Neodiprion lecontei: one gene and its partner. The protein of the gene in region 2 interacts with the protein of the main gene of each other region in a pairwise test. Links are inferred from orthologs where the notes say so. Each region holds a gene or a part of one and is shown on either strand. Other genes may lie near its edges.

What was found.
Region 1: the proteins of ribosome biogenesis protein BRX1 homolog (region 2) and probable rRNA-processing protein EBP2 homolog interact in binary tests that used the Drosophila melanogaster proteins (3 or more experiments, as listed by UniProt). The link is inferred for Neodiprion lecontei from reciprocal best matches to the Drosophila melanogaster genes CG11583 and CG1542.

Annotation. Positions count from the first base shown.
Region 1 is NC_060263.1:31,077,531-31,081,650, reverse strand, and holds probable rRNA-processing protein EBP2 homolog, read right to left. Parts: upstream 2,521-4,120; 5' UTR 2,414-2,520; coding exon 2,333-2,413; intron 1,805-2,332; coding exon 1,007-1,804; 3' UTR 886-1,006; downstream 1-885. Other genes in the region: F-box only protein 42, read left to right, coding at 3,631-3,754, 3,854-4,120. UniProt on the Drosophila melanogaster protein: Required for the processing of the 27S pre-rRNA.
Region 2 is NC_060263.1:32,445,463-32,454,077, reverse strand, and holds ribosome biogenesis protein BRX1 homolog, read right to left. Parts: upstream 4,326-8,615; 5' UTR 4,183-4,325; coding exon 4,060-4,182; intron 3,439-4,059; coding exon 3,162-3,438; intron 2,971-3,161; coding exon 2,615-2,970; intron 2,532-2,614; coding exon 2,220-2,531; 3' UTR 2,158-2,219; downstream 1-2,157. Other genes in the region: choline transporter-like 1, read left to right, coding at 69-224; succinate--CoA ligase [ADP/GDP-forming] subunit alpha, mitochondrial, read left to right, coding at 5,235-5,271, 6,282-6,517, 6,764-6,985, 7,096-7,200, 7,334-7,537, 7,875-8,009, 8,362-8,448. UniProt on the Drosophila melanogaster protein: Required for biogenesis of the 60S ribosomal subunit.

The DNA of each region.
Region 1 (4,120 bases), about 1.4 Mb from region 2:
TTTTACAAGGGAGTGAATTTCGCTTGCCCTGATTTTGTACGTCTATAAAATATGGGCGCCAGCGTGATATCGAGATTTTAGTTGGTTTTTCGAATTCCAGACCAAGTATACGCTGATTGACTGATCACTCGTCAATACAAAATTATATACCGAGCATAATCGTGGCAACCAGTTACAATTTGCCATCTCACAAGCGAAATATTAACGCCCGATTGCCTATCTGTAGAAGCCGAGTGGCTTGTTTCCACGTTTAGGCCCGGTATACACAAATGTACAAAAATGTACCTGTAAACTCAGATTCCCGTGATTAAGTACGTATATAGTTCGTCTCATCAATTTTTTATGTGCACTTTTCCGGTAAATTTATAGAATTCGATGATAGTTCACGATGACATTCAAAATGTTGAAGTATAAAAGGATGTTGCTGATATGTTAATTCAAATAGAAAATGCAGAGAAAGTGGACAAACCAATTATTTTCCGTAATGAGAATCGTTTTTTATCCAATTTTAAATCATAAATTCAATGAAATAGAAACACGCGTTATAACAGAAAAAGATTGATAGGAAAATTGGTACTACGAATTCAAGAGAATATAAAACAGAATTGAAACATGCCGTGATAACCGATCCGACATTTCAGAATGTATCTTCACTGGCTCTATGAATGTTCGTAAATACTTTTCACATCGTCGGATACGAAAAATTTCAAGAAAATATTTAAAAATATTAACAGCTAGTTGCATTTTCAATTTTTCAACATTATAACACTGCAATACATCACTCTATATTCGGTAGTTTATTGTGACATAAATCGCGCAATATAAGATATAGCATAATAATGAAGGTTATAATTAGAAAAAATATTAGAACGAAAAGAGAGCTCCTATAGTTTCTTACAAAATTATTTTATCTATATATTTTAGTTACATATACAAAATATAGGTGATTTACAACATGATGTTGCACTCGATACGTTATTTACCAGTTACTGAAAAGCTGGCCGTTTCATTTTTTTTTCGACTTCATCTGAACACGACGATTTTTCCCGGGCCTCTGTTTACCGCTCCCAGCACCCTTTCCCTTTTTTGGTTTACCAGGTTTTCTCCACTCCGATACATCCGCAGCACTAGATTTGGAATTCTGTTTACTGCCACGTTTTTTGCCGCCAAAACCATACTTCGAATTCTTCATTTTCAATTTCGCTTGGGCCTTTTTATCCATATGTTGGACTCCAGCTTTTTTATTACTAGGCTTTTTCTTGTCATCCAAGAAATCCAAATCATTTCTTACACCTTTGCGATATTTCTTAACCTCATCAAGCATTTTCTTTTTCTCAGCGTGCTTTTTCAATTTTGCTTCAATTTGCATTTGTTTACCAACCTTTCGCTGTTGCCTTAATTGTCTAACTCTTTCCGATCTTTGTGCTTCTACCTGTTTTTTCATGAGATTTTCCCTAACTTTTTGCATGTGTTGATCAGACTTGGCCATCTCTGCAAAATAGTCATCCGGCCTCTTCGTCACTAGACCAAGCTTTTTTAATTTAGCAATACCCTCCATGACCGCACCCTGAGCTTGTCGGTGAAACATCATCTCTCTTTTGAAATCATTCAAGATCGGATCTTCCGAAGGTGAGAATTGTGGTAGTTTTTTGTTCCCTTGCAGCTGCTTTGCTCGGCGGACTTCTTGCTCTTGCATTTGTAGGGCCAATTCTGGCGCTAAAGGCGCAGGTGCGTTCACTATGTCCAACCTCTCAACCCATGGCAATATTATTTTGAACTCATTCAATTTTCGCTTAATGTCAACCTAAAAATAAAAAATGAAAACTTAAATTAGTCTCGTAGGACCTTCTCAAGTTAAATGGATAATATTGAACATCAATACTGACGGTCTCGTAGTTGTAAAAAATATCAGCAGGAAACTTTTATCCAACAACATAAGTTGACTTTAAATGTTCGAATTCAACGAAATGTGACTTCGATGAAGTGTGAGAATAAACAACCCATCAAGTCATGCGATGGTATATCAAGTTAGGTTAGGTTAGGTTAAGTGAGGTTATATTATGATTATACAGCACGGCAAATTCACCACTATGTTCTAGACACAAAAATGATCGAATATATTCATAAATCGAGCGAGGAATAGGTTGTACAGATGTACACAGTTTATTTAAAATAATATAGCATAGAGTATTTCCGGCTTTGCACCGATACCATGCTTCGTCGGCACGTTGGCACGATTAGTATCTTTCGTACTTCTAGAATTGGAAATACTTACACCACGCCGATTACATGGTGGGAGTCCATCAGAAAGTTGAAAAGTTTTTATACTCACATCAGTCGGCACCCGAACGTTGTTTTCGTCGTCATTACTTTCGCTTGAAGAATCTTCGAAATCGTTGGAATCTTCAATCATTGTTGCACACGCGATTAAATTTTTCGGCGCAAATGTATTTCAGATACGTCATACGAACATAGGTGACAGAACATTTAAGATGATCCACGCTTTCAAGTGTAAAAATCGTAGTTCATATGAACTTCTCTAGAGGGTATCATGCAAGGGAAATTCTTATCGAGTTGCTGTTCCTTAGTCTTCTTTGGATATTAAAAAATATTTCAAGGCAGAGTATTAGTTGGTTAACGACATGCATTTACCGTTGGATACGTCGAAAATTAGTTCCAGAAACATATTTCACGTTGCAGGAAGCAAGTTAATTGGAAACACGTAAAACACGTAAAATGTAGAGCTTGAAGCCTCCTCTCTGCCTAGTGCTGATATTCCTAGTAATTCAACTAGGGATGCGTTCCGAAATATATTTTCAGTACTGCAGATACTGACAACCGTGTTCCGAAATCGTGCGACAGCTTGGGTGCTTTCCATTTACTAACTCAAGTCGACTTGTGTCGCTATTTCTGGTGTATTCCTTTTCCCAGATTGGCCGGTTACACCAGAAATAGTGACACAAGTCGATTTGAGTCATTAAATGGAAAGCACCCCTTACTACCGCCCTCGACCTACCGCCAGTCAGTGACGTCTGACATTCGTGATGATGTGATTGCGACTACCGCGGTGTGGAAGGTTTGGGAACACTGAATAGTTTGGGACGTGAGCACTGATCACGCATAGGTATACCTATACTAACATACCTATTATATCATCAACGGACGTGGGCAGTTGAAAGATGGCCGGGCCTTCGATGGAGGGGGTACTTGAAACTGGAAGAAAAAACAGTACGCGGTTCGCGGTTCCGTCCTCTGGTTTGTAGTTGACTGCGTGACGTCACGTTAGGCAGTCCTGCAAGTATATTTTGGAACGCACCCTAGTACTAGCCACTGAGGGAGAACTATCCAAATGCATAAAAAAAATGTGAACTCAAATGTCGTAAAACGTATTTTGCGCGGTAATATGTGTAATGACTCGAAGACTAGGATCAAAGTTGTCAATAATTGCACACTTATATTAATTTTGCGAAAACATAATCATAATTTTTAGACAAGAACAATGGATTCTGTTGGTTACAAAGTTGGAAGGTTATGTGCAGACCGTGTAATCAAATATTCGTAAATTGTACAATTTTTAACTAGTATACGTTCGTAATCGTAGCATAAGCAAATGAATTACAAGCCTTAGACATGCTCTGTAAGATAGACGACCTACCTGACGAGATCCTCGAATACATATTGAGCTTGATACCCCCCTATAAAAATCTTCAAGAGTGCACTTTGGTTTCTAAACGATGGTATCGCGCTACTCGCAGTACGTTTATAAATTTATATTTCCTAACAATTCATTGGAATCGTGAATTTCATTTCTAATAATTTTTTTAACTCCACGTTAACAACAAGAATTTTTTAGATGTAATAGAACACAGTGAGGCACATTTCCACAAAGCAGTTGGCCTGGGCTCACTTTTTTGGAAAACATGGCCTGAAGCCGAGTGGGTACCGACAATCGGAAAACGTCATTCCCATTCGGCATGTACTTATGAAAATTCTATGTATGTGTTCGGTGGTTGTACAGCTACGTGTACCACTTTCAATGATCTATGGCGATTAGATTTGGACACACGAAAATGGGTTAGGCCTATCACTATGGGTAGCTATCCATCGCCTAAGGCATGCA
Region 2 (8,615 bases):
ATTTCTTCGGTAGATGATACTTCACAATAATTTTTTACTATTTACACGTTGTCTTCTCTCTTTTTCAGACTGTAATCGACACCTTATTTTTGTGCATTTGCGAAGACAAAAATCTACATGGAGAAAATGGTAAATGGCGACAATCTGCTCTGGCTAACGTAGGATCAGCTAATCCTAGCACCAACGGTCAACAGTCACTCGAGTTGTCTCCAATCAACCAATAAGTATTAAAAAGTCTTTTCTCGTCTGTTCTATTCTACTGTTTTATTAAGGTAGGTATTTACTTCCCCAATACGAGCTGAGATATACTATAGTTAAACAATATTCTTATTTATGTTTTTTGAGAATTTTATATCATTCTTTACGAATTTCATAAACAAACTTTGGTTACCTATTTTTCACGCAATTTACGGAACAGTTTTTTTTTTAAATACTTTTTATGAAACATTATCTATAGATATCATAAGCCTGGTTTAGTTATGAATATTACATATACGAATCAGTAGATACATTTGGAAATTCAATGCTGGCCATTCTCTGGCTAAGCATTTTTTTAACGTGAGTTACTTGCAAAAAAATAAATTTGCTCACTTTTTTCGAGCTTCTTAGCATTATAAATTTTCTGACTACATCTAACGTAAATATTATGAGAATAACGTATCATCGATATCATCAGTGCAATCATAGCATATACACATCTTTTTAGTAATTTTACAATCACGCACAGTTCACTTTAAGACAGTTTGAACTCTGGTTTTTTTCCATCCGTTAAAGTCTTTCTAATAATAAATACTTCCTCAATAATATTCAAATTTGCTATGCACATCAGTTATCTTGAATAACATAAAATTTTTGTCAAGTTTTACTTCACGTACCTTAAACGTTCAAAATATTAGAGCTAACAGGAAATATTGATTGTCGTAAATACAGCATATACTAGAATTACGAACACCGATTAGTGATAATAAAAATATAGTGATACACAAAAACATTGTGCACAATTTGTGAATAGAATTAACTGCATATAACATTATCCTGTTTAAGTGCCTCTAATTTCGCATGCATTCCAAAATATCTGGACACGATTTCGAATAGCTGATCGAGGCTTTCGAGAAAACAATCAATACTTTCACAATTGTGATATAGATGTTAACCATACCATCTACAGAAAAATATTGTCTATTGATAGAAGTACAAAATTCAACATATTTTTTTTTCTTCTCAAATTACATGATTCTCAAACGAAAATTAAATGAAAGACTTTTCCATATCATGACTCTCAATTTATTTCCTTAAAGAGACAACTATTCGGTGGTTCTTAACTCTTGTTAAATAATTCACAATTTTTTCTGTTCCTAAATATGTAACAAATAATCCAATGTTAATAATTTGCAAAAATCATTCATGTTGGTTAACATTTTGAAGATTAAGACTTTTATGAACAAGGTTGTATTTTCTATTTGTACCGTCCAGGAATATTGTACAACACACGTCTGAACCATTTACTCGCAGTTTCATTCAGATACATTGTCTACTGTCTAGATTAAATGGAATTACTTTGTACATACATACGTAGGTATAAGCAAACACGCTTTTCGCGATTTGTTATGATCATAAAATATATATTTGTGGTAATAGAATATTTTTTACAAGAACTGTTATTAAGTTTATCACACAAAATTTGTAGCAATTATACGATTGCGTTGATTATGAAGAAAGTTATTGGCTTACCATATGATAGTACTAATATTTCTATTTCGAATGATTTTGGCAGGCTGTTGTAGAAACGTACATAAGAAGAAATAATACATTTTGTCGGGAGAGATATATACATATATAGGCATGAATATATTTCTGCGTGTGATATTTAATAAATTGTTATAGGTTTTTTATAACGTTCTAATCCTCAATAAGATTTTTATGAAGAAAATAATGGATTTTGATACTTTTTAAGGCATCGTGAGCTATCCTATGGCATTTACTCACTGCTGTTTGAAGATGCTTCTAACTTTAATGTAATACCTGAATCTAAATTAAGGAACCAATATTATACACTGAAGTTTACATTTGAAAGTGAACATAATTTTAAATAAAACAACTACTAACATTCACACGAAGGATTTGGCATTCGTAATTGACAGTAATTGTATACGATAATATTTTATATGCATGTATTTTATTACAACAGAGTGCGTCAGAAGTTCGTACAATAAATTCGTTCAATTTTTAATTTTTTTGGCAACTATTGATTTTTTCTTCTTATTCTGCTTACCCACTAAATGCTTTTTCGGTTTTTTCTTAACGAACTTTACTCTGAGGGATTTTTTCTTTTCAACTTTGGCAGATTCGTCAATTCCTTGCTCTTGTAACTCTTCCATTTTTTCTGCCGCAGCCAGGGGATCCCCTTTGAATATCTCATCTAATGGGTTCAAAGCATAAGATTCCGCCGGCTTATTAGATTCTGCATTCAATTTCTGTTCTATCCTGTTCATGTATTTACCAGCTGCTTTTTTCGTCAATGACTGACGGTACTGAAAAAAAAAGATTAAAATATCACTGAATTAATAAGTCTCAAAAGCGTACTGTAACCCTGAGTTGTAAGTACTGAAAATACCTTAGCTGGAGAAATATAATACGGATTATTCCAAAGCGTTTCACCACCAAAACTGCTGGTAAAAATTTTCACAGGATTAAGAACAAATCTGGGGCCTATTTCAGCTAGTGCTCCATCCTCCGTTAAAATTTGGAAATTTCTAAACCATATTCGATTATCTAAAACACTAAATGTGTAAATATGGTCGAAAAACGGTTGACTTTTTGGATGGTGGTTTGGTACTCCAAATATTTGTGTCAATAATTCTTTCAGGACACCATACTGAGGTTTCTCATTGAAATTCTCATCAAAAGATAGCAATGGTCTTGACCCTTTGAGACAATTTCCAGTCATTTTCAACTCTGCCATTGTATAAACTAGAACCAAAAATATGTATTATTCAGGCAATTATTTTTATTCTTTCAAAGTTTTAGGTTGAGGAAATTCTTTTTTTAAAAAACAACCCACTGTTTAATAATAAATATTGAGATGGCAGCATTAGCTACTTCGAGCAAAAACATCAAAAATGTACGTCAAATTAATTGTACATAATTGGTTAAATACTTACCATTTTCAACAAGAAATTTCGCACATGGTCCAGTTGGAACATTAGACAACCACATGTACAGATCTCTTTTTTTTCGGCCCTCGAAAAGCATGGCTTTGTTGCAATTTTTCATTTCACACATCTCATTAATAACTTGCAAATTTTTGGATCGCTCCATTTTACTCTCTGGGCGATGGTGTGGCATAAGTCGTTTAATATCTTCCATTAGGTGACGATCTCTGTGGTTAATTCCCCGTGATGCGAATACTAGCACCCGTTGTTTGTTTATCCATCTCGTCTATCGAAACAAAAATGACTATTTAAAATAAATATTCTTCAAAGTATCTATTCACTCTAGAGTTAATCTTCACGAGGCACTCCAATTATTCCATAAGCCAAATGTTTATTTGTCCCGATTGTTTTGCAAAAAATTGAAATATCCAAAGTATTATTTCAGGCACGCTAAAGTTGTGTGGCAAAGGTTAGATTAAGTTCAGTTTCTGTTATACCGTTGCTAGAGTTTTAATAAATGATTATACTCTAGCACTGTCCAAAACTGAAACACACACACGAAAGATGCGAAGTATGTTGTCGGTGTCTGTCACCCTCAGTGAATGTTTTTAAACAAATCATACTCACGTAAAAAATGGTATGGCTTGAAAACTTGTTCGGACACTCTAATTCATTCCAAAAAATTCAAGAGATCCGAACATTTGGCATATTTGGAGTGTCCTGTGTAGGTTCACTTTGTAGTGCGAATAGACGCGGCGACTATTCTTTCCGTGAAAAAGGTGTAAATTAGCAATAAGGTGGACTGGGAATGGAGAATTTCTGTCTTGAGAGAAATGTGAGCTGCGTGATTGCAGTTTGTCTGTACACCTGTAATACAGTAACTGACGAGGTTAGAATATAAAATAACCTTTTTCGGCGCAGGTTCATCGGACGATCGTTTCGATGGCGGGAACTTCACCACTTCTTCGGTTTCAACATTTTTAGCCTTCTCACTCTCCTTACGCTTCCTTTTTACACTTTTCTTTACCATTTTTGCTATGAAACCAGTTCACTCAGGAAACCGTGTTACCAAAATGTGAGGTTAACACGTGCGGCACGCGGCGAGCCTTCACCACCAAAATATATTATAGGCATGTGTAACTGAACGTGCATCACCCATAGGCTTACAGAGAGATTGACCAGGAGCAGCCCTCTGACACTCACCACTGCTCGTATACTAAAAAAATTGTACGCGTCTTGTCCCCGTTTTTTAGTTCCTCTACGTGGCGCTAGTAGTAGACTTCTGACACGCTCGCTGCCCTCGCTGACCGCGCGCAAGCTCGTCAGGTAACTACTAGCGCCACTATTGGTGGAAATTAACAGCAGAATCGAGGAACATTTTGCGAACCCCTTTTAGCACCGTGTGTCAGGGGACCGACCAGGAGGTAGACTGCGGGTTTGCATATGGTTTGTGTGCCTATAGAATTGCGTGAACGGCTCCCACTGATAGACGCTACCGAATCGCTAACACGGCTTGTTGTGACTCTCAGCCGTGAAGTGCTAGCCATAAAAATTTGCGCCGAGGGATATAAGCCGTCTTTAAATCCTTCCGTCACCATTCAACGTCTTATCGTATGCATTAAAATTGTTCAATATTAATTATCGACGTCTGGTAGGATTAGAAGATCTGTTGCGGTTGTATCTCTGTGAATATGAGCAAAGTACGCTCATATCGTGCTATGAAAGTATAAAATTTTCATATTCGATACGCGCATGTGGTTCACCATTAAAAATCCAAAAACTGCTAAAATTGTGTTGGTTAAAACGACTAACTAGTACGTACTAGTATTATAGTTAGCCAATTTACCTATATATAGCTTATAGTTGGCGGATAAAGGCAGCGCCTCTACATCGTAGCAAGCAGCACTGCTTCGCGTTGAACGCTTTTAACCGTGTGTTGAGTCGCTTCATTCGGTTTGTTCACCAAGGATATATCATGGTAGTAGGAATCGTAGATATTAAGGAGTAGGCTGTCTGTCCCCGTCCATGGTGTCAAGTCCGTAGTTCGTTCTGAAATTAATTTTTCTCGACAAATTTATTAAAATGGCTGCGGCTGTTAGGAATCTATCAAAAATCACAGGTCGGTAATTTAAACATTGATACAATGAAAATATCACAAGTCGTACCGCAAGCAAAATGTATTCCGGAATAAATTAAGCCCCGTATATCGTTATGCAGTCGCACCTGCATAGACCCCGTTTTATTTTAACCCTACGAATGCTGTTCGCTCTTGACCCAGATGGCTCAAATCAAAAGAGACAATTGTCTCGTGTACATTATGTAATCTAACCCACATTTTTGCTTCTATCAAATTGCTCAATAATCCTTTCAATTGCTTGACAATCTCCTAAGATCGAATCACTAATTAATAAGTCAAGTGCCATTGGCAGATAAGTCAGATTCATGCTTTCGTGACCGGACTGTGGATAATTTCATGATATACATTAATCCTTTCGGTATTTCTTCCCTCAAGAGGTCGACATCCAATTACCCTATTAATACTTGTTTCGTCCTACTGCGTCCGTTGTATGCTTAACATGTCAACTTAAATAATGATAAATTTTCTGTAGAACGCAAAAAATTCATCATTTTAAGCAACAATTTGTAATGTTGTTTCATAGAGTGAACCAATAGTCATTTATTCTTGTGGTATAAGATACTGTTCATAGAAATAACAAATTCAAATATTTCTGATTCCCAGGAATGAGTATTTATATGACATTGATTTTATTGATACCATTGTAATTGCATCTAAGAATGTGTTAATCATTGTAATTAAACTACATGAAAAAAAAATTTCCATTTTATTTTACCTATTTTTAAACTTTATTATGTCTATCTATTCTATTCCGGCCTATAATCTTTGGAACAAGTATACTTGAATCGTGAGAAGCATAACCTTTAAGGTAGTTGAGTAAATTTCATTATCTTCTGTTTGCATTGACGGTGCTATTTGTGACATATGGCTCTTAGAATTAGAGCTTATTAGCGTTACAGAGAATTTGGATTAGATATTTCAAGGAATGGTCCAATATTGATACAGCATTGCATAGTAGAAATATAACTAATTTTGAATGATTTTTGCTTTAGTGGGAGGTCGAAGCAGCTTGCTCCGTGCCCAAGTAAGATTCAACTACACGGACACGAGGAAAAACCTGAAAATAAACTCAAATACCAAAGTCATATGCCAGGGATTTACAGGCAAACAAGGAACATTTCATTGTCAACAAGCACTTGATTATGGGACCAAAATTGTGGGTGGTGTCAATCCCAAAAAACCTGGAACAGAGCACTTGGGCAAGCCTGTATTTAAAACTGTCAAAGAGGTTCGTTCTATTTTTTTTTTTTTTTTTTTATTCCCACATCGATAAAAATATGGATAAACTCAAGCGACAATCTCAAGAATGAAACCTTTCAACACCAAAGTTCCTGTCTTAATTTTGAACATATTCTCATTCTATATATCCTAGCATACCCAGAGTGAGATTGAAAATCAAAAAATTCCCTTTGAAATTTGACATTTAATCTTGAAGCATGTTATTATATATTTATTTAGTTTATGTATTTTATAGGCCAAAGAAGCTACAGGCGCAACGGCTTCGGTGATTTATGTTCCACCACCCGGCGCAGCAGCAGCAGTTATGGAAGCCTTGGATGCAGAAATGCCTCTAATTGTCTGTATCACTGAAGGTGTGCCTCAGCACGATATGGTAAAAGTGAAGAGGCGTCTTCTTGAACAGAACAAGTCTCGCCTTATAGGACCCAACTGTCCAGGAATCATTGCTCCAGAACAGGTAAATTTTTATGTTTCTTTCATTATCTTCAGTGACAAATGTATTGCTCTAGTATCTTCATACGTAAAAACCGTAAAGAGCTTAATTACCTATTTCTTTTCCAATATCAGTGTAAAATTGGGATCATGCCTGGACATATCCATCAAAAAGGAAAGATTGGTATTGTCTCGAGATCCGGGACTCTGACTTACGAAGCTGTAAATCAGACAACTCTGGTGAGTCACATGAATCAAAAGTATTTTAGTAATTCTGCTTGAGAAAAAACGTACATGGTGACACATGAATAATTCTGAGATACTTTGGCCATAAATCAGGTTTTAATGAATCAATTTTCTTCGCATTATTAAGGCTGGGCTAGGGCAAACTCTGTGCGTTGGTATCGGCGGAGATCCCTTCAATGGTACAGACTTCATTGACTGTTTAGAAGTATTCTTACAAGATCCAGAATGCGAAGGCATAGTGATGATCGGAGAAATCGGGGGTAGCGCTGAAGAGTTGGCTGCTGAATACCTCATGGAACATAACACTGTCGGTTGCTGTTCTGAATTATTGGTATCCATGACCCGCCATTATGCCTAATCCATCCTTATCCTATTCCAGACCTAATCATGAAGTGATACCCATATATCCCGCATGGTTTTTTCTATAAGTTACGATCCTACCTTGCTGAATTCAAAAAGTTTTAAGATATGTTGATGCTGACTTTCCATACTTAATTGATTTATTTATTAAAGATTAGACTTTAGACAAAACAATGTTCACTAACGTTGCACTTTGCAATCAATACTTTTCACTTTTAGAACGGAAAAAAAGAATCTTACACCCTAATCGCAGCTAAATGTAGAGAATAATTTTTGTAATTTCATAGATTCAATTTGTTCCACTGTAGGGTGGAAAGGCTAAGCCGGTTGTATCTTTTATTGCCGGATTGACGGCTCCTCCTGGTCGTCGAATGGGTCATGCTGGTGCCATTATCTCAGGCGGTAAAGGTGGCGCTCAAGACAAAATTAACGCTCTTGAAAAGGTAATGTAGATTGTTTTAGTACATTTTCATTGCAATTGGTTTTGCTGAGATTATTCATTACACATGATTCCCAAGTACAGAATTAATCCTTAGGCCGCAGTATACTGACGAAACTATAGTCAAATAATATAAATGTGGGTTATTTGAATATACATTAAAATCACTGGCGGTCTAAAGGTTAAATTCAGAATCAGAACTTACTGCACTGATATTACATATCTTAGAAATACATATCAGTAATACTTTTACTAAAAATTTCCTTGAGAGGCAGATATCACTTCTTACTTTTTTTTTTTACACCAGATAACAGTAGAGAGAAAAACAAAGGGGTCATTTATCGTATTATTTCCAGGCCGGAGTGATTGTAACGAGAAGCCCCGCCCAAATGGGTAATGAACTGCTGAAGGAGATGACTCGTCTTGGTCTTGTCTGTAACTAAACGGAAAATGTCATGTGTGTTATACGTACCTATCGTAGCCTCTGGTATACATGTGTCATATGGAAGTTACATACTACAGACGAAAACTACACCGAGTTGTGGGTGGTACACATTAGATGAAAAATTACTGTAGAAATTATGGAAAAACAAAACAAAGAGAGAAAAAA